Lepisosteus oculatus: one gene and its partner. The protein of the gene in region 1 interacts with the protein of each later gene in a pairwise test. Links are inferred from orthologs where the notes say so. Each region holds a gene or a part of one and is shown on either strand. Other genes may lie near its edges.

Region 1 (9,080 bases):
GCCTTCGTCACCTAGCCAAGCTAAAGACAATTTGGATGTTAAAGACACTAAGAAATCTCTTGTAATCATTAGCAAGACCCTATTCCTACAGGTGAATGATCTATATAAAGATGTGCGCTATGGAAGTCACTGGCACAACATTTGCGCAACAAAATGTTTACACAGGTTTTCCCATATGATGTGTCTTGCACTTTGTGGACACCTGAAGATAAGATGTGTCTTAGGGAAATAACACCATACTGACAGAGCAGAGACTGACGAATTGCGGGAAGTGCGTAATGGTGCCCATAGTATTTATCTGCTGCCCCTTTCCCGAACATGGATTATGTATCCCTCCGACACCAACACCAAAAACAGTGTTAGATATTGTAAGTGTGGAGTGTGAAGGCTTGCACCACTTGGGGAGAAAGTATTCACATTTTTATAAAACTATAAAATGTTATAATGGTTAATTATACTACAAAACAGGCGGATGCACATGTGTCTTTTAATTTTTTCATACATATATCAACATATATCCATCCACTTTCTAACCGTGTTATTCAGGTCAGGGTGGCCATGGAGCTGGAGTCTATCCAAGCAAACAGCGGGTGCAAGGCAGGATACACCCTGGATGGGACGCCAGTCCATCACAGGGCACAGAGACACGATCATGCACACACTCACACCTGGGCCTGTTTTCCCAGAAGCTAATTAATCTACCAGTATATCTTTGGACTGTGGGAGGAAATCATAGCACCCCAATAACACTCGGTTTCCCCATGCAAACCCACACTGTGAGATCATACAAACTCCACGCAGACAGCACCCCAGGAATTAAATCCAGAGCCTCAGTGCTGCGAGACAGCAATACTAACCAGTACGCCACCTTGCTGCCCTATATTCAGATATATTAACCCCACATTCATTGGTAATACAACATTAATAAGAACACTGGTAATACCGTATGTGTCCAGTAGTGTCTGAAACATACTTAGTTTTTGATCAAATAAAACAATACTGCAAAAAGCCATCTAAAACGTGCCACAAAGCATACTTCTCATACAATATACTGTACATACTTTATATTTAAAGAAAAAGAAGAAATATTTGTGGCAGAAATTAAATTGCCTCCGAAGAAACCTGTCTCTCAGAGCTCTGAAATACCACAATCTGCTGTGTCTTCCAGGCAAAACAGATGGAAATGACTAAAAACGAAAGGGTCATAAGATAAAGCCTGTATGGTATTTTATATTAATTTTCCCCTTTTCATATTTTTTTCCCTTTTCCCTCCCTTTGCTCTATCTGTATAACATGCAGACTATTTTTTTTCTCTGTCAAATCTAGTAAAGTTTGCTTTTCCCCACAAAGTTCTGGAAATTGCTGATGTTTGGGCTCTGGATCATTCATCTTCCTCTCTCCCTTGATAAAACACTTGTTTTGAATGGCAGCTTTTTATGAGCTGGAGCTCAGTGTGTAACACCTGCTTTTCATCAGTGCTACTAGCAATGCCAATTTAGATGTGGTTTATTTCTAAGAAGCTTCTATGAACACCATATGCATATCATTCTCCTCATGAGTGCTCTCCTTCCATGTTATTTGGATATGCAACACATGCTAATGAACCCACTGTCGTAACATTAAGGAGTGTTTATTAAGTGTTCTTTATTTTTTATCTGTTATACTCTTATACTTTTACTGTGGTATATCGTTATGGTGTTATGTGCGCTTCTAAACTTTGGCTAACATGCTATATATTGCAAGAACTGTTATATATTTCCTATATGACTGCAGTAATCAGGATTGAATGGAGGTTTTTACAGTGCCATTTCATATTTTAGCCACCTAAAAATATATTAAATGTCCTCAGCACAAATTAAGCTCAATGAAAAGTGTATTAGAGGCAATGTTTAGAATATAATTATATTGAATAGATAAGCCATACTGTTTGTGATTAAACTATTATTTGAAAAAAATAACATACATTGAACTATCAATTACTGAACATCAGTTATTTATTGGAAAGAACCTTATTCATAGTGACTGAAATAGGTCACAGAGATCGCCTGAGATCGTGAGTGATAGTCCAAAGATGCTTTGGATGACTCAAGTCCACCAAACCCCAACAGAACCAACTACCAATTCGTACCATCCTTTTGGAAATACGTTTGGCAGTTGTCTAATAGCATAACCCTGATTTAATGCAACAGTGTCTGCATTATGGGACATAATCTTAACCTGTTAATTTAATTAGCAACCCATTTCAACTACACCTATTTTCAAGACATTGACTAGCTGCAGTTTGATAATCACACCTTAACAGACTGTTACACCTGTTAAGGTGTGATCCTTCATCAGATAGCTTAATGGCCCTCATCTTAATGCAACCATTAATTCTTCAATCCACCTTAATGCACCTGAAATGTACCCTAATTCTTAAGGTGGCAGCTTTCCTCCCATTTCTCCCATTTGCGTAATATTCAACTTGACCTCTGTCATTTGTTATTCTGTTATTATCATTAACTAGTATAACTACTTCTGTTATTATCATTATTAACTATTTTGCAATTTAATCCAAGGTAATGCAGATGCGAAGCAATTACAGAAGTAGGAAAACATATTGTATTGGCTACACAATTTCTACATGACAGTGAGCAGGACAAAGGCATTGCTGTATGAGAGCTGGTTAGTTACAGTGTTGGAGACTAACTAGATGGGCTAAATTGACTTCTCTGGTTTGCAAAGTTTCTTAGATTCTTCTTGTATATTCAGTGAATATTACTCAATCACTACTAGGATCAGAATGGTTACCCTATATGCTGTTCCATGTGAGCTGACATCTCAAAGTTGAGTTTGGCGAGTTGTAAATTTAGAAATTTCAAAACTTTTCTGGACATAAGCAGCAAAAAGAAAAAAATACAGGCATGTTACTTAGAATATACCTTTTGGTATCCTCACAGCAACCAAATAAACCATAAACCATGAATAGAAGAACACGATGGAAAGAAATGAACATTTCTGGCATGTCCATAAATCTGTGAAATAATAGGATATGGCATTCATATTGTAACATTATTAAAAGCAGTTTTCAATTTTTTCTGTCTCCAAAATTTAAATTTCAGTTATGCTAGAATCCACATCCCAGCACTCTGCTTCAATAGTACTACTGTATGGTTGTTTGACTTTTACTGCAATATACTGTTCTGTCTGTGCTATGCTATGCAGATACAGTACAATTGTCAAATGGAAAAAATTGACTGTATTTTACAATACACATGACCAAACAAAGAAAAAACAATCTATCTTAAAGACACTGTGATAATGCCATGTGACTTGAAATAAATGGGATGTCTGCTAGTAACCATGCTGCAAGACAAAATAAGACAAATCCTGACCAACACACTGAGCTAAAAGTACTCATCACAGAAAAATAATATTACTTATACAGCATAAACTATATATATATATCTTTAGCAAGAGCTGAACGTATCTTCAAGATTAATGTTATCATAATCCTTGCCTGTTTATTCAATAAGAAATAAACAATGTACCTTCAGCCATTTTTGTATCATTTATTTCCCCGTTTGCATCAAGGGTGTTACTGCTTGCAAAGTATTCTGCTTCGTAATCTGGAAAGACAAGGAATATTACCATGGATTACCCACCAAGGTTCAGATGATACAGCAAAATACATCTGAATATTTTATACAAATCATATCATCATTTTGTCAAAGAGGAAGGAAATAATTAATCATAATTGTTTTCAAGAATTAATAGTTCAAGGTTTCCCTCCTTTCTATCCATCTCTTTGACACATACTCTCTAAAAGACAGGCTCTTAGAGGATAACTCTCACTATTAAGCTATTATGCTTTAAATGAGAGCTTCACACAAGACATCACCAACATATTTATATGTATGATGTTTGAAGCATTTACTTCATAAAGTCAGTATCGTTGAAAGAACAAATTTGCCAAATTTTAAAACATTCTTTAAAATGAACCTTGAAACAACTGCTCTTGGAAAATCTAACTCTCATATTACTAATGTAGGAAGAGTATCAAATCCCAGAAAAACGTAAACAATATTCTGTATAATGGGACCTAGGAAATATTTCGCTGTCTGTCTTTACACTGTAGTGAATGTGCACGACTATTTAGCGGAATGAAGACTATTGTAGGCAGGACTGGACCTGCCTGTTTAGTTTCCTGCACACTGCACGCTGTTAGGTTCTACCACCTGTAGGTGGAATATAAAATAGTCTAGTTCTCAGGCTCAAACTTGGCATCAAATCAAACCAAACTAAACTACTACAGATCACGTTAAGCCAATATTGATATTGCTGATATTATTTCATTCTCATGCGCAACAGAATTGTTTAACGCAAATTTTCATAATGAATATACACTCGAACAAATGCACTTTTTATAAATTTGTAATCTAATGACAGAAAATACAAGTTCAGTGATATCCGTCGGTTTGTCAGTGTGCCTTTCAGACTACCTACTCCTCATGAAAACAACCACATATATAATGCATTCTTCGAGCATTAGTTTATTCTTCCGTTGTGTATACCCCATGTGACAAATATATTAAATAATGTCTATGTATACTGTGTTTCTATTGATGGACAATAATCTCCTTTCAACTAAACAAACGTTGCAGGTGCATTCCGTGTTCTTTAACAAGGGTTATTTCATTTTAACCTTTTTGTTTATACAATACCCAAAGGAGCGACTGCAGACGAATCGTGACAAGATAAATTCCCTGCCTTACCTTCTTCGTTAATCAGTTTGAAGCTTTGGGATTTTCTGCTCCTTTTCCTTTCAGAAAACTCCATTATTGGTATCTGTGCGATAAAGACCAGGGAATGAAATCTAAAGCAGAACTCCAGCGTGTAGTACATCAGAATAAACAGCAGGACCGGGGTCCGTCTCTGTAATCAGCAAAAACTCCTGCTCATTACAGTATTTCAGTTCCAACTGCTTAGCCTCGCGTTTATACGCCCTTAATGGTTTTGAAAATTAACCGTGTTAATTACAGCTCTTGAATAAAACATTTTGTACTAGTAATCGATTGATCTTTATTTATTATTTTAGAGCGAATCCGTTTGTATTACAAAAAGATGAATCGGTGTACTTATATTTTCCATATTCCTTTGCGCCACCTGATGGAATTGTTTTGTAGGCTAGATGTTCATCACCTGGTTACCCACACACAGAATGAATGGTTTGAGGCTAAGGCTAGTTGACTTTTTACTGAGGAAATGGGGTAAAGTATCTCAGCCCCTCTCGGTGTCCTTGTTATACGGTCTGTTCACCTTTGTTTAAACTAGTCAAATGGTTAGGAAAGCACAATACTATTATATATATATATTAATCACAATTTTTTTATTTCAAGTCTGTTTCACGAAAAGTTAATAGTAGTAATAGTAATAATACATTTTGAATAATTTAAGAATAGCAGAGATCGATGACTTATAGCACCTTAGTACGATACAATTAATTAATGTCAAATATGCTTCGAACCAGTGCCAGTACCACAATTTATGCATATTTAATCATTAGGTAAAAGCGTATGGGTCATGTGATTGTGTGGACAAGCACTGTTCTCATTAACAATGAGAGAGATCTGCATAAGGGAGGTACCAACACCAATGACCTGTCGAGGTTTTTTATTCCAGAGGTTTCGGCTTCTGGCAGCATCTGTGTATCTTGACACCGCCCCTTGACCTTTCACCGTATAAAAACCGACGGAAGTGTTGGAGAATTGCTTCCTGTTTTGTGTGTTTTTTTTTAACAACACCGAAGGAGTTTGTGTTACATGCTATCACATCATGGATATTTTAAAAGCTGAAATAGCGAGGAAAAGGAAGCTCCTCGAAGAAAAGGAGCTTGTTGGTGTGAGTTACCGGTGTCCAATGGAAAATATTCAATTTTATGATGGTTTAAATGACTTTTTTTTACCGTCTATCACTCGGTGTTACCCGCAACGATAACCTGCTTTATACTTATGGATATTTGTGTGTTTACAAAACGCTGTCTAGTATACCAATATCACAGTAAAGGACTAAGTAACATTAAGAGACCCTTTCCATGGGATTTACTGTTATATCCGAAGCTGTCGACAGCATTTTAATAAGTCTGTAGTATTTAAACACGAAGTTTATTTTTTGCTTGTTTCTGTCCAATTCGAAATGTTAAATCAGTGCATGGACGTCCAGTGGACTGCTACCTTTCATGAGATATTAAACTAAATACTTAAATAATGTTGAGTGCCATAACGTCAACTCTTGTATTGCAGGAGTCAAAGAAATTCTTTAAACGCAGCGAGCTTGCCCGAAAAGAAGAAGAATCCTATTATGAAAGATGTGGTTATAAGGTACAGTGCTGACATATTTATAGATTTGTATTCGGATAGCCTTATACAGGTGTTTCCCTGTGTGAATTTTAGGCGTTAGATCGGGCCAGAACAGTTGCACATGCTGTGAGTGAGCACAGTTAATTGGCAACTTAGGCACTAGGATGTAAGTCGGAAACTGGGTTCATTTAAACGCAAAACCGCAGAGAGACTCTCTGTGAATAAGTAGAAAACCAAAGTGCAACTACTCCTCTCTATCTTGGAGTCAAGAGCAGCACAGCTAAATGGTAGCAGGACTTTATTTTGTACAGTGACCTTTTATCTTATGCAAGGAGATCATACTTTATGAATAATATTTTCTTCACATTCTGAAATTCCATGGAAAAATAAGATAAAATACAGTATATGACAAACCATACAAGTTTAATCATTTATTCCTTAGGGAAATATTCCTTCAAATCAGTGGACTTCATTATTTGCCAAATACATGCACTCTAAAAAATGGCCAAAACAAACAAGGATTGGAGGTCTAGTGTACAGCTATACAGTCTTTAGATTAGGGAGAAATGTGTTTATAGTGACAATCTCAGGAAGATTGATTCAGTCCGGGTCATATTCTTTGTGTGGTAAATTGCCAAAGTTTTGAAAAACTGCCTGTCTGTCGTCTTTGCACTTCATGAGATCTCAGGTGTGGATGGATGGTCACTGACCTAGAGGATCTAAATACATTTGGCTTAGGTTGTATGACACCTGATGCTTTTAGTGAATCACCCTTAGGTTCCAACATACCGGCTTCTGTTTATCGGATTTTAGATCTCTTTTAAAGTACAGACTTGTTATTCTTTTCTTTTGGACATTAATGATGTCTGTGTACATTTGCTTCTCTTTAGCTTGTCTTGATCTGTACAATCACAGTGTTAACCCAGAATATCAATTAAATGTAAAATGATCAAATCCGTACTTTATTTTCAAATTCCAACAGTTATCCAGTAGTTATGCATGGTGTATGTTTGCAAACCAGAACTTTTTTTGGCCTATCAGCTCGTTACAGCTTTTTTTCTGATTCCAATCATGTGTTTATATGTATATTAGAATATTTTGCACATATGAATACAGTGCTTTCTATAAAGGTTCTCTGGCTTTCTTAGTGATTTTTTTGGCTTGTTCTTCAGACCCTGTCTTTATAACATCTAATGCTGCTCTTCCATCCTGTCTGCATTGCACTGTAGGTTGTTAATGAGAAGCCAGCAGGAAAGGTATGGGATTAAAGAGGGCAAAGATTTGTCCCTGCTGTAGAGCAAAATTGGGCATGCTGAAACACATTGATTTTTTTTTCTTGCATTTTCTTTTGCTTACAGCATGAACTAGCAAACTGTGAAATTGTTTTGAGCAGAAGAAAATAAGTCTTGGCTGCACCAGTTTGAAACTAAAAAATTCATAGGGTGGAACTAACTTCAGTTATTCTGGACAGTTTAATATTCACAGTTTAAGATATTTTAAACTCACCCTTTTGTTTTAGATATGGATCACAAATATTAGTGACCTTTTATAAAAAAAAAATCTTAGCTCCAAGTAAAAAATTCCCCCTTTCAATAATAGTCTGTTGCTTTTTAGCAGATATTGCGGTGCTTCTGAGAGATCCCTTAAATTGCCTGTTATCTTTTTTTACAACTACCTCTTTTTGTACTGCTAGCTGTAATTGGGAAAAGTGCATGTGCTTCTGAAAGCATGATTCAAATTGAATTATTTAAAAAAATACACTTATGTATTTTTTAAAATAATGGAGTACTAGTGAACAAGCATTGAAAACACTTTCCTTGTTTTCTGCATCTGTTCAGGAAAAATAAAGAGTGTCTTGTAGCATGGTGGTTTCCTTTTTTCAAGGCAGCCGGAGTTGTTTGCTTAACTGTCCTTTTTAAAGTATTAATTTGCACCATTAATAAGTACTTTATTTGCAGAGTATAGGCAAGTGTCACTATGAGAAGCGGGGATAGTAACATTGTGGGAGCAAGAATCTAAAGACTTACAAAAGAACCTGTAAAGTGTCACCTTACTAATTCGTGTTACAGTACATGTTTAGTTTATATTTGTCATGAATGATTAACTTAACGTCACGTTGGTTTATTAAATAGCTGTTGAGAGGTGTTGCATGCAATTTAATTATATGTTTAAGACAAGTTCTGTGTTCTGGAACCCAGTGCTATACTCCGGATCATCTAACTGAGGATCAGTGCTTTCCCTAATTGACCCAGTTTTTTCTCTGTTTTTAGAATCTTGATAGATTCCCATGCAAGTATTGTCTCAAATTAATTTCTGTTGTGCAGTGTTGAAATACTTTTCAAGTAGATGGCGTTGTTCAGTGCGTTTTTTAAAATATTAAAGCACCTTTGTTCTCTTTTTTTTCTGAAGTAGTGAGGTGTTATATATATTAAGTGTTTATAAGAAGCATCAACATAAAATATTGAGGCTATTTAATGTTGTAAGCAGTCGACTTGTTAGTATGTATTTTGTATGCATTATCAATGTCAGTGGCCCTTTGGAAAGGAAAGTTATTTAATTAAATATATTACAAAATAAAAAGTAACAAATTGCTCATATAATCTTTACATTTACAGTATCTTGTTAAGCATGGGATCTTCAATTTGGTTTTAATTTAAAGTTGCAGCGAAAAGAAGATGAGCCTGAACCATCGACCTCCTCCAATCCTGTATTGGAACTTGAACTAACTGAAGAGAAGCTGCC
Region 2 (11,986 bases), about 11 Mb from region 1:
TTTTTTAATTCAGAACCACTGGTCAAAAGGAAATGTCCACCTTTGGGACCAGCATTGTTATTGTGTTTTAGAAACCTGTCTTATCTATTTTCCATCCAATTCAGGCTTGCGTAGGAGCGGGAGTTTATCACTCTAAGCAAAGGCCACAAGGCGCGATACAAACTGGACGGGACACCTGTCCATCGAAGGGCAGACATCCAATACAGTAGACACAAACACTCCCAAACACATTCGCACCAGGGCTCCAGTTTTCCTGGAGGCCAATTAACCTACCAATATGTCTTTGGACTGTGGGAGGAAACTGGAGCACCAGGAGGAAACCTAAGCAAACACAGGGAGAACATACAAACTCCACACAGACAGCACTCCAGATCCGGAATTGAACCCAGGGCCACAGCACTGCAAGCCAACAATGCTAATCACTGCACCACAGTGCTGCCCCTGTTTTAGAAACATAAGTATCAATAAATACAAGTTCCTTTTTAAAGCAAAATACTTTAATGGTGTAGAACTAGAAGACTGTGTATAAAACGTTTAGCAAAAACTTTTAAACAACACTGGGCCATTCATCAGAAACTAGTCTATAAATGTTAAGTGATTTGAATAAAAATCCCCTTTCTGACATCAGCAAAAGGACATAATTCTATAGACCTGTAACATGTACAGTATGAATAGCAGTTAAAATATAAATTTACAGGCTTTTGCAAGCAACAGACTATCCACTATGTTGTGATTCACTACATTCCATACAAAGGCATGAGTTACATTTGGGAAGAAATATACAAAAATACATAAATTTCAATGATGTACCAATTTGGAGCATTATACTGTTTTCTTTGAGAAAGCTCAAAATTGTAAAATAGTTGTAAAAGCACCACTGCTTTTAGCTCCTGACTACCTGCAGTTCATTATAAAACTGTCCTTATTTTAATAGGAGTGAGTACACTGCACAAAAAGTCTTTGAAGTGACTTTTGTGTGCATTCATGTTGTGCACTTTTACAAGCACATAATATCTTATGAACATATCACTGCTTTCCATCAGCTGCAGACTCATGGAGTGTCTTATTCCAAAATACTATCAGTTGGCTTTCTCAAAGTGGATTCATACAAGCATCAAAGACAAATTTAATACAGCTTAATTCCTAATTTTCATTCAGTTTGATTTGCTCAGGCACGCTTCAACCAATGAAAACCATTTCACCTTAAATGTATGCAGCAGCTACGTTTCTAAGTGAAATATAATTACAGGCTACTTTCATTATTAAAAGCCCTATTTGTAAAATGAAAATTTCCTTCAGTCTACGTTTACTCAATGCATGCGCTGCAGTTAACTGCAGATGAAGTTCAATGAAACAAAAAAAGTTAAAAGCTACTGTAGAATTTAAAGGTGAATTTTAGTCATAATGTCAGTGTGGTCGTTTCTTTAAGGTTAGTTGATATTTAAATTAAATATTTAAGTAAACAAAATCACTTTGTTACATCCTGAAAATGATTGCCTACTGCATGTAACAATTACAACAACATTTTATTTTTATACATACATGAAACCTTTAGAAACATTTTGAAAAAAGCATTATACTGTATATTGCAGAAAATAAGGGATAGTCAGTGTCTATCATTTGGCAGTATAGTTGCACTGTATGAGGTAAAGCGGAAAATGGTTAAAGGACAACTAAAACGGATGAAACCTCTGCAAATCACATAAAATCTGTGCTATACTGTACGTTAGTTAGAAAGAGTGTAAGAAATTTGCCAAGACAGGAAATTATTTTATACAAATTGGCTTTTTTAGATATATGTGGCTGCCTAAGGATGGAAAGAAAAGAATAGTAATATGATTCATTTAGATTTAGCAAATATGGCAATTAATATCGTAGTGAACCAATGTACAGTATTTGCAAAACTTCTGAAATCATTTGAAAAGAATGCCCCATGATCCAAGCAGTTCAGTGAACATTCGCAGATGACTGCAATAACATTTTTACTCTCAAATGGTACTAATCTGGTTTGGGGGAAAAAAAAACATACATAAAGCAACTTAGCCTCGGTCTTTGAAAATAAAGTAGCTTCAAACTTTCTTTTAGTCATTGAAATATAATATTATCTGAAAAGACAAAAACATGTTAAAATTAATCATGGCACACCTTGAACAGATGTGATGAAAATAAGCAACTTCACATACAGTATGTGTGATGAAAACAGGTTGCATATAAGCCCAAGGAACTGTTTGCATTACAGGGCATTCTAGCTCTATCTCTCTAGTGTGAGAAAACAAATGAATAATCAGCAAATTAAAATGTGAATATCCTCTTACTATATTGGGACTTGAACTTTGCTATATGGGTAATTCAAATAAACTGTTTTTAAAAAAGTGTAGAACTCACTATTCTATGCATCTGAAGTTTAAAACAATTACACATATCTGCTGTGAAGATAGATTCTAAATCCTATTCCGTAACTTTTATCTTCATTAACTGCATAAAAATGCAAAAACAAAATCAACATCACTATTGATTTTCTTACCTTTATACTAGTGATATCTAGTCTTCTTTTTCCTACATCATTGATTATTACAATCAAAGCTGTCTTTCGCAACTAAAAATCCTCAATTTTACCTTCCACTGGGAGAAGGCTGAAAAGATTCCGCAGTCACCATCATGTGTATCCACTAACCCAAGAGTGATATGAAAGAGCTATATTGAGGTAACAATGTGGACTCCTGGACAGAGTAATTAGTATGCTCCAGCCATGCTTAGGGAGTATACAACTCCTACACACCATCATTTGTGTTTTGTCTTCTTTTGAATCTGAAGATACATTTTAGTGAGCCGTAGCTCAGTAATGTTAAATGAATTTTTGCAGGACTTCCTAACATAAACAATTCCAACTCTGCAGGCACTCATTCTGTATATAGGAACCTGCACTGTTTGATTGCAAAACGATTGGGGACACTGACTGAAGTAAAAACTTGTTTACTTAGAATTTGACAGAGAAAAAAAAAACCTCCAGATACATTAAAAATAGGTGACTTCGAAAACGTTATTTTTCTCTGTAGCTCTTTGGACTTATTATCCTAGATTGTTTTTCATATATGGTAACCCTGATTATGAAATTACGACAGTGATAAAGCAGAAAACATCTCGAAAGATATACTGAAAACTGTTAAAGATCAAAGCACAGCAAATTCAGTTTTAGCTGGTAATGTGCTCATTTGCAACAGTATTCACAATTCTGCAAATGCCCTGCAAAGTTCTTACATTCCATTGTGGCCATTTTCAACTCCAGGAGGTATGGGGCTATTAACTAGTCTGCACAACAGCTACATTTTAGAGGACTGTGTATGAAATGGCAATCAAGAACCTTAATATAACATTATAGTTAAGTAACAAGAAAACAAAACTAAGAAAAACTGTAAAAGGATTACATTAGATTCAGGTTTGTGTTCTACAGTGTGTTAAGATTAAAATCAAATAACAAAAAATAGCAATACTGTTGTAAACGTGCACTACGCACCAAACTGATATTTAGTAGTTTAAAAGTGACCCAATCCCAAATCCCAAATTAATCATGAGTGCCCAATATTTAAGGAGAGGTGCAAGAATTCAGAATCCAGTGCATCCTGTTTGAAGAATCGTGTACACTTAAAACAGCATGTCTCCAGATCTGGTTTATAAACTAAAGAAAAAAAGGGAATAACTGCATGAAAACATTTTTAGTTCCACCACCATGAACATGTGTTAAGAACCAATAAAGTTTCATAATACTGTGTCTAACTTAATCATTCTGAAAGTTATTGGACATTTGGAACTGAATACATCCAAACACTGAAAGATCCGTCCCAAAATAGCAAATAAGAGATTTATACACTGTACAGTACATCAGTACTACTAAAATTTAATTGTAATATCACAGAGCAGCATTTGTGTATCATACACAATTAGCAGAATGTAACATTTAGTTATTGTTTATTTTACAGTATTGCTGCCACAACAACACAATTATGTAGTGTGATACTAATTTGGTGTTGCACAAACACAACTCTGTTTCTTTAACATGAAAATGAATGTGATTGAGTAAAGTGCGATATTGACAGAAACTGCTAAACCATAGGCTTAACTGCAAATGTACACAACACCAGCAATACAGGCCTTTACTGACCTATAACTGAATCCATTATTCATTTTATACTCGATTACCTCCCATTGTGCCCTTTAAATTACAGATTGCTTCTTTGCTTGCTTATTTGATTAATTTCCTGACTGTTGGACTTCATGTGGAACACATGTGGTGTCTGTATTATATTTGTTTTTACATCATCAAGAACTATAACTTATTATAAATTATTGAGTTAGTATTATGAAAACCGAAAAGGGAAGGATTGCATTCTTAAATTGATGGGTCTTCTTACATGCAGTTTGAGACAGAATTACAGTATCAGCTATGCCTTGAAAACAGCATATGGTCAAAGACAGAAAAAGGCTACGTTTAATCTTTAAATAGTCAACTAACATGACCACAGTGAAAACTCTGGTTCTACTGTCTGTAATGGGATAACAGGCTATTACTGCATGTGGATTTGTTTTAAATATCTCAGTTCTGTAAAATAATGAATCACTCATAACATAAAAGGGGGGAAAACTACAGAATTAGTCAGTTTCCTCTTGTTTGTTAATTATTTTAAGAGCAAGTGGTATATATGAGGAAAAGGGAATATATGACAGGGAACAGTTAACTGTTCAGGCCGGTGAAGGATAAGCACTGCATAAAAAACTGAAACATGTATCTTACCAGGCACAAGGGGCTTATGCTTCACTGTGGAGAGTTCTCATTTGAATATTGTGGATTGTGTTTTATTTTTATCTCTTCGATTAACACATTATTAAAACACACTAGCCAACGTTGTCTGCAACGCTTTTCAAACGGCATGTGTACGGGTCGCTTAATACTTTCTTACTATGGACATTACAAGGACTGTATGGAAAATCATACAGCATATACTGTACCACACATTTATTTCCCAAGTAACCACTAACGGAAAATATGTAACCGACCTAAACAGCGAACTTCATTGACCTATGCTGGAATCCATTATTCGCTTTACGCTCAACACAAGACATAAATATCAACGGTCACAAAGATTTTGACTTTTTAACAGCAATATACAGTACTAACGCATGGAAAGTTGTATGTGTGCGTTAACAGTCTTGGGCTGCATTAATAAATGATAAACTGAATGTTAAAAAAGGAATATTTGTATTAATATCCTGCTTAGCAGAAAAACATTTTTACAGAAGCTGCAATCTTTGTGGAAAAAAATAGAACAGTCCAGAATCATGTTTAAAGACAGTACAACCTTTCCGAGAGGTTATTTCAAAGTCCTGAAAACTCGTTTTAACAGCCTTGGAACAATGCATTTTTTTTAACGTGGCCGTAATTCAGTATTTGATAGAAATCTTATATAGACCCTTTATTTAATAGAAAAAAGCAGCTAGGGCATACATAAAATAGCTTGAAGGGTCATTCTGTTTGCAGTAATGAGCAGACACCCATTTTATTTCATTTCATTTAAACTGGTGAGCTTTTAATTGGCTGGATTGTATTGTAAGAAACACGTACGGTTGATTGCTTCCATTATGCATCCTTGTTCTGTGGCACTCATCCGCGCAGTCTCAGCTTCACTGGTTAACACAACAAAGTAACCGCAACTCATTAACAAACGAAAAGTAGTAAGAGTTTCAACTCTTCTCAGCCTGCAATCAGATTTAGACGCGTTGGGACAGCTTGTATAATGCGCTGAACCACTGCCTTAAAAATCAGAAGCTTTCTTTTTCTAAATTTCGTTCATTATTAAATTAAGAAAACAGGCTGCCAGGAGTCTAGTGATCCAGATGAAAGGAATTTCGCCACTTCGATTTTCCAATTGCCAAGCAACAGTGAACAAAAGATTTAGGAAAATAAAGCTGGATTGGGCCTAAAAGATTTTTTTTCTTTCCCTGTGCGTTCGCCCAGAGCAACCCCGCAGGTTCTCTGTGAACTCCCTTGCCTGTTTTCCGATGTTACTCAAACTCCCTCAGGGTACCTCATACAAATAGATGTCCGAACCCTTATAAATTGAGCTCATACCATTTTACGGAATATATATATAAACTACGTGACGACTGCATGCCATGGAGCTGAGACCCGATTTGATTCTCCTTTTCTCCCCTTTGCAGCTGCAAGACTCGGCGATACTGACATTTTTCCACTCTTATCAGTTTAATTACAGTTGCCATGGTAGCAAAGTGCTAGTGCTTGGCAAAGGCCAATAAGAGATTTGCAACAGCGAACCCAATTTTCGATGCAGCTTGCATGCACAACAAAACAAGACCAAAAAAATCACTTTCTGAGTTAATGTGCTTAGTCTTTGGTGCTAAACGTCCTCTTTATCTACAGCATTCAGCGGGAACATTTTGAAGCTATCCATTAAACCTGCCAGAATAATTGGCACCAGCCAACGTTCTTGAAAGCAATTAAAGCCTCCGAGAACAATATTGAAGATAAACGGAAAAAACACCCCTCATCCCAAAGCTATGGAATACTTCAGATCACGGGTCTGCTCACACCATCGATTCCTACACAACACACGTTCCTAAAATAAAACAAGACAAGGTGAACACTCAGAAAGCTAAAGAAAAAGAATAAGTCACAGCACAGCGAAAAATCCTTACCGAAACTTTTCTCCCTTTTCTGCATTTGACTTCAGCACCCCAACCACCATGCAACTCGAGAGACAAAAAAAACGCTTCGTTTCTTTGGATGAACTGAGCAGCTGTATGCTTGCACGCTGAGGGTGGCTTGCTATTGTTCAAAGTGAGACCCTCGCTCCAGACAAAAAATAAAATAAACAGGAAAATAAGGAAAGACCTGCTATCCACTATCGCCTGCTAAACGTAGCCAACGTTTGTCACATCAATACTCGATTATGAAAAGGAAGTCTTGCAGCCGCTGCTATACGAGTGGTAGTGAGCAAATGACAGCGGATGACAAAAGCACATGCTTACCCCTTTAACGGCGCCGTAATCTTATAATCCCCTCATGCTTTACTTGCGAATGTTAGCCAGTTTCAGTGCCTTGTATAATGAATTTAATCAAATACCACGGAATGGCTTCAATCAACAGCCTTAGCACATAATATCAACAAAACACATTGTAGTTTTAAACCGACGTTTCCTTGTCTGTTGCAGGTGGAAAGTTAACGCCTGATGCACACCGGCGAAAGTATCTTTAGCGCCGTTAACCCAACTGGACACAGACAAGTGCACTGCGTAGAACTGAGATATGCGATATATGTTTTTGTTTAGCGCAGTTTTAAAGCCTAAAACAATTATACCTTAAACAAAACGTCTTTTCATCCTGCAAATCTCTTTCCCTTTATCCGGGTATTTACTTGGAACATATCCTAAATATCAGTGTGTACGTGAACTGTCTCTCATTCATATCCACTTCAGTATACCCTATCCACAGTGGGTAACGCGGATTGTAAACATCGTGTAAATTAAAACACGGAGATAAAAGCCGTAACGAATTGCATAAAGAACATCATCAACAATTGTCCTCGTTAAATGATGCTGCTGACAGTAACGGTGGGATATGGGGACATTTTATACATTATAAAACAAGCTATTATTTTTAAAACATGATTTTAAGTGGCATGAGTCATATCTAAAATGTTCGTATTCAAAGCGTTTTCCGAGAGGGTTTGAAACCAATGTTTAAACTGTTTAAAAACTTTCGATTGTTAGTTAACAGCTCCTTACTGTTCTTTACCTCTTACCTTATTCTTGAATTATTCTACACATAGAGCAAAGTTTCAGCATATTCTAGTTTCCATCTACAATCGTGATGTTTTCATCTACATCACGGCATTTACAGTATGTTTCTGCTTAGAAAAGGCACTTCAAATGAGTAACGCAAACCCTGGTACAGTAAATGCGTGGTTGCAAATCCAACAAGTGTTCCTTTCTATAAAGAAAATAATCTATTTATACACAAAACTTCACTAAATCCACAAATAAGGTTTTAAAATGCACAGCGCTAACACAACATCATTGGTGAAGGCACGCGTTTAAAGTGTTTTTGTTAAAAAAGTGAATGGGTGCCTTTTTTCCACCTTAACCCAATGAATTAAGTTAAATATCATTTCTGTATTAAGCATGCATAACTTCCACAGGCACCCTATATTTAAAAAAGAGGGTCTCAAAATGTTCTAACATACTTGTACTGAACTACGGTACACGTCAATCCATTTTGTGCAGCTGCACTTTACTCACCTTCTTCGCCAAGTAATGCAAAAGGACTCAGTTAAAAACAGGCACAGTAGCGCAGTTTCAACCTTTCTCCCTTCAGAGCTAAAGTTCATAAAGCAAGCATTGCCCGAGACGTATCTGAGATCTTTAAGTTTAAAATAATGAGGTCCGCATGGATCCGCAAGCAGTTAATTGCAGTGTTAGGCAACAGAGCTACAGGTGTTCTCTTTACATCCGCCGCTGAGCTCCCGTGTAGTATACTGAGGGGCTCAGAACAACTTACCCATCAGTGACTGAGGGATGGAGCACAGAGAACCCTAGCTTTATCACCTACGAGTCCAATCCCTCACCAGCGAGACATAACACAGCAAGAAAAGGTCATTCAGTTATTGCTGCAAGACCGAGGAACCAGAGCGCGCACACACAGCCACACACGTGCCAACACGTATCAAATACACTAAGCCAGCGATGTACAGTTCTCTGCTAGCACCGCAGTGAAGCAGCAATTTCTCACGTCGTGGAGACATTACCGTGTGCTTACAGATAATCCGAAAACAAGACAGAACGCTTAGAAAGGAAGCAATAGTGGGGAAGAAGACATACTGCTGCGCAAACTGGTCAAACAATAGCAAGTAATACGGAGCAAACCGCCTTTCTAGGGATGCAGTTTTCAGAGGCAGCATCTTTACAAGGAACTGACGCCGATAGTTTCCCCTACCACATGGCCTTCTCCTTTGGAGCATTGAGTTATTATGAGTAAGTTAAATAGAAAAACTTTTCTACTTTTTCCCCTCTTTATTCCATTTATAAAAAAAAATGGGATTGTAACCGTAGAGGGCAATAAAGATACGCATTAGCTCCTAACATTAGCATTGCATGTTTGTATGTCATTAAATATTTTTATTTTTTTAATCACGCTGCAGTTTTCCTATAAGCGACCTCTATGTTCAGTCCTGCATTCTGTATATACTGTACAAAATCATTAAAAAAATAGTTTGGGAGGAAAATTAAAGCCTTTTTACGTAAATGCCATCCATTAAATTCACATACCAATATCTCCATTACCTGTAAAACGTTTGAAGGACTATCTTAATTTCCCCTTCTCGAAACACTCAAAAAAACACGGGCGGAACATACAGACTCCATACAGAAGGGGCCTAGTCTGGAAGGAAGCCCAGGTGCCTGAAGTAGCGAGAGAGGAACTGCGAAAACCGGGAAGCCATCGTGTCGCTTTGGTTTAGGTATGAAGTTAACAAATAACCTCCTACTTGTAAAACTTGGACGCATGCAAACTCTAAATCTACATAGAACTATAAAGTCCACAGAGGGACCTGTGTTATTCGCGACATATCTTTTTACTTTGTTAGGCAGTTGTTTTTCATGCAAAGCTGGGGTAAGGGCTTTGACATTTGGCAATTAAAATCGGAATTGTAGAAATCATTTTAAATGGTCATAAAATACCTTAAGTAGAACGCTGAATAAAGCTAATTTATAGAAAAAAAAAAACGATGAATATATCTTTACCATGATGGAGGGATGACTCAGTTAATGAATCAGTTATGTGCAGTGTTCTGTTAATTCTTAAGGACTTTTGAAGGTTTTCACGTGAAAGATCAGTGAAGAAGACACTGATTTTTAGCTTTGTGCATGTAATTTCCACAGATTTCACATCTGACACTGAGTTTCTTTTTCTCTGAAGATCTTACAATCTATCAAGGCAATCTTGATATCAATAGATGAAAACAGAGAAGATACTTGATTACTTCATCCTATTTTGAGTTGTTATTAACGTGCCTCTCAAAAGTACAAGAATACCATAATTTGTCATTAAAGGCTATGACTCAAAACAACACTAATTAGCTGCATTCTTTTAAAATGTTAGATTTATTATTAATACTTTTTTAAGTCTCTCTGAAGATCAGTTATTTTAATTGAGTCTCAATTAATTTATAATTTAGTAAAGAGAAAATATCTGAAAATAAAGCAGTACCCTTCAGAGAAACTTTATGCTTACATTTTAGGACTTAGTTAATTGATTTTTGTCACTTTATTTGGTTTGAAATGTAAGCTGTCTTTAATATAACTACAGTGGTTTGTAAGCTTCAGTATAATACAGAATCTTCTTTTGACACATTTTAAATAAACACCTGGATGTGTAAAATTACATTTTATATTACTATTGTATTTTCAAGCAGTTCAAAAACTGTGAAAATGTAGAAGGCATTCATAATTTTCAGTGTCAAACTACATCTGTCTGTTCAGCTGTCTGACTTTCTTTAAGCATATGAAATCTGTAATAATGGGATACAATGGTATGGCAAGGTTTTAATGTTTTTGTGAGTGGTAGTTGCACAGATTGTATTGAACAGTCCTTAAAGTGTGATGATAACAAGGATTTTTTGGTGTTAGTTTTTTACCATTTTCTTGAGTGACATTTTTATCAGGTTGATTGCTCTTGCTTTTCACAGAGGCATGAACTAATACAATATTTAAAAACAGGTTCTGCAAATTTATCTTCTCTTCAAGAGCACTAGAATAAAAGATTGTATTTTTATACAGAAAAAACAGAAAATAAGTACTAGAACAGTATTTGTAACATTTGAACTAATGTATACAGTATATAGAGATTAATTTGTAAGAGATTTGCGCTAATAACAGTTTGCTTTTTAGTGACCTAAAAGAAGATAGTATACAGTACATATTTTTCAAGTGAAAAGGCTTTAAATAAAGTTACTTGGAAATATTACAAATATTTTTTCACAGTATTTTTGTATCTCTTATTCTGGTTAGAAATGTCATTTAATAAATCTGTTCTATGGCCTCACTGATTGCAATTTGCAAGTGTGATCAATGTATGAAATTTAGATACAAAGATCAATAAACAGAAACAACATGTCTTGTCTGAGCAGATAAAAGTGTGTAGTGCACATTGTACAGAAGACTCATTGCAAACTTTGACACAATTTAATTTTGTGAGAAACACTTTAGAACAGGGTTGACCAATCCTGGTCCTAAGTATTCGCTATTTCTGCATGTTTTGAAGGTCACTTTAAAGCAGCAGCCCCTGAAGAGCTGGAAGAAACTACTACATTAGTCCAGTTAAGCCAATAATCAGCTGGTTTTGCTCATTACGATCTGAGTAAGAATGAACCCCCCCCCCCCACACACACACACAGGCCCTCCAGGATCAGGACTGGACATCTCTGCCGTAGAAGAAACCTGCAACTGACATGCAGTACATTGCCTTTTACTTGCAAAATTCAGTTGAACTTTCAGGTTGACTACTATCCACTAGGCGAGATATTTAGTCCCCCCTCACCTCTGCTTACCACTTCTCAGGACAACCAATTAAAGCTAAAACGACTCAGAAAAGAACATTCAGATTTTCCATAGATTTCATTTGTAAACAAATATGCCCCTTACATTGGTTTGGATGCTACATGCATTAATGCCGTGCCTTTCGTAGTAATTAATATTTTGAGGTCACAACTCACTTAGACAAATGAATCAGGCGGATTCTTTAAGACTTTATTTTAAGGCACATCGGTTAAGATACAGAATTCAAAGATATCCGTGACGTTTTTTAGAAGCACTTGTTCGTTATTGGAAAAGAGGGGAAAAAAAAGGTGAAATCACTCCTCTATATTGTTTTCTCTTCTGTGTGTATTTTTGTCTTTTAATTTGATCTTACTGGTACCTG

Evidence for each region.
Region 2: the proteins of bend7 (region 1) and lmo3 interact in binary tests that used the Homo sapiens proteins (3 or more experiments, as listed by UniProt). The two-hybrid records come from large-scale screens. The link is inferred for Lepisosteus oculatus from reciprocal best matches to the Homo sapiens genes BEND7 and LMO3.

Annotation. Positions count from the first base shown.
Region 1 is NC_090702.1:14,198,181-14,207,260, forward strand, and holds the start of bend7 (BEN domain-containing protein 7), read right to left. Parts: upstream 5,181-9,080; 5' UTR 4,885-5,180; coding exon 4,755-4,884; intron 3,609-4,754; coding exon 3,531-3,608; intron 21-3,530; coding exon 1-20. Other genes in the region: prpf18 (pre-mRNA-splicing factor 18), read left to right, coding at 5,815-5,880, 6,282-6,359, 7,568-7,594, 8,998-9,080.
Region 2 is NC_090702.1:24,867,031-24,879,016, forward strand, and holds the start of lmo3 (LIM domain only protein 3), read right to left. Parts: upstream 5,721-11,986; 5' UTR 5,712-5,720; coding exon 5,618-5,711; intron 2,639-5,617; exon of another isoform or gene 2,617-2,638; intron 2,588-2,616; exon of another isoform or gene 2,525-2,587; intron 1-2,524.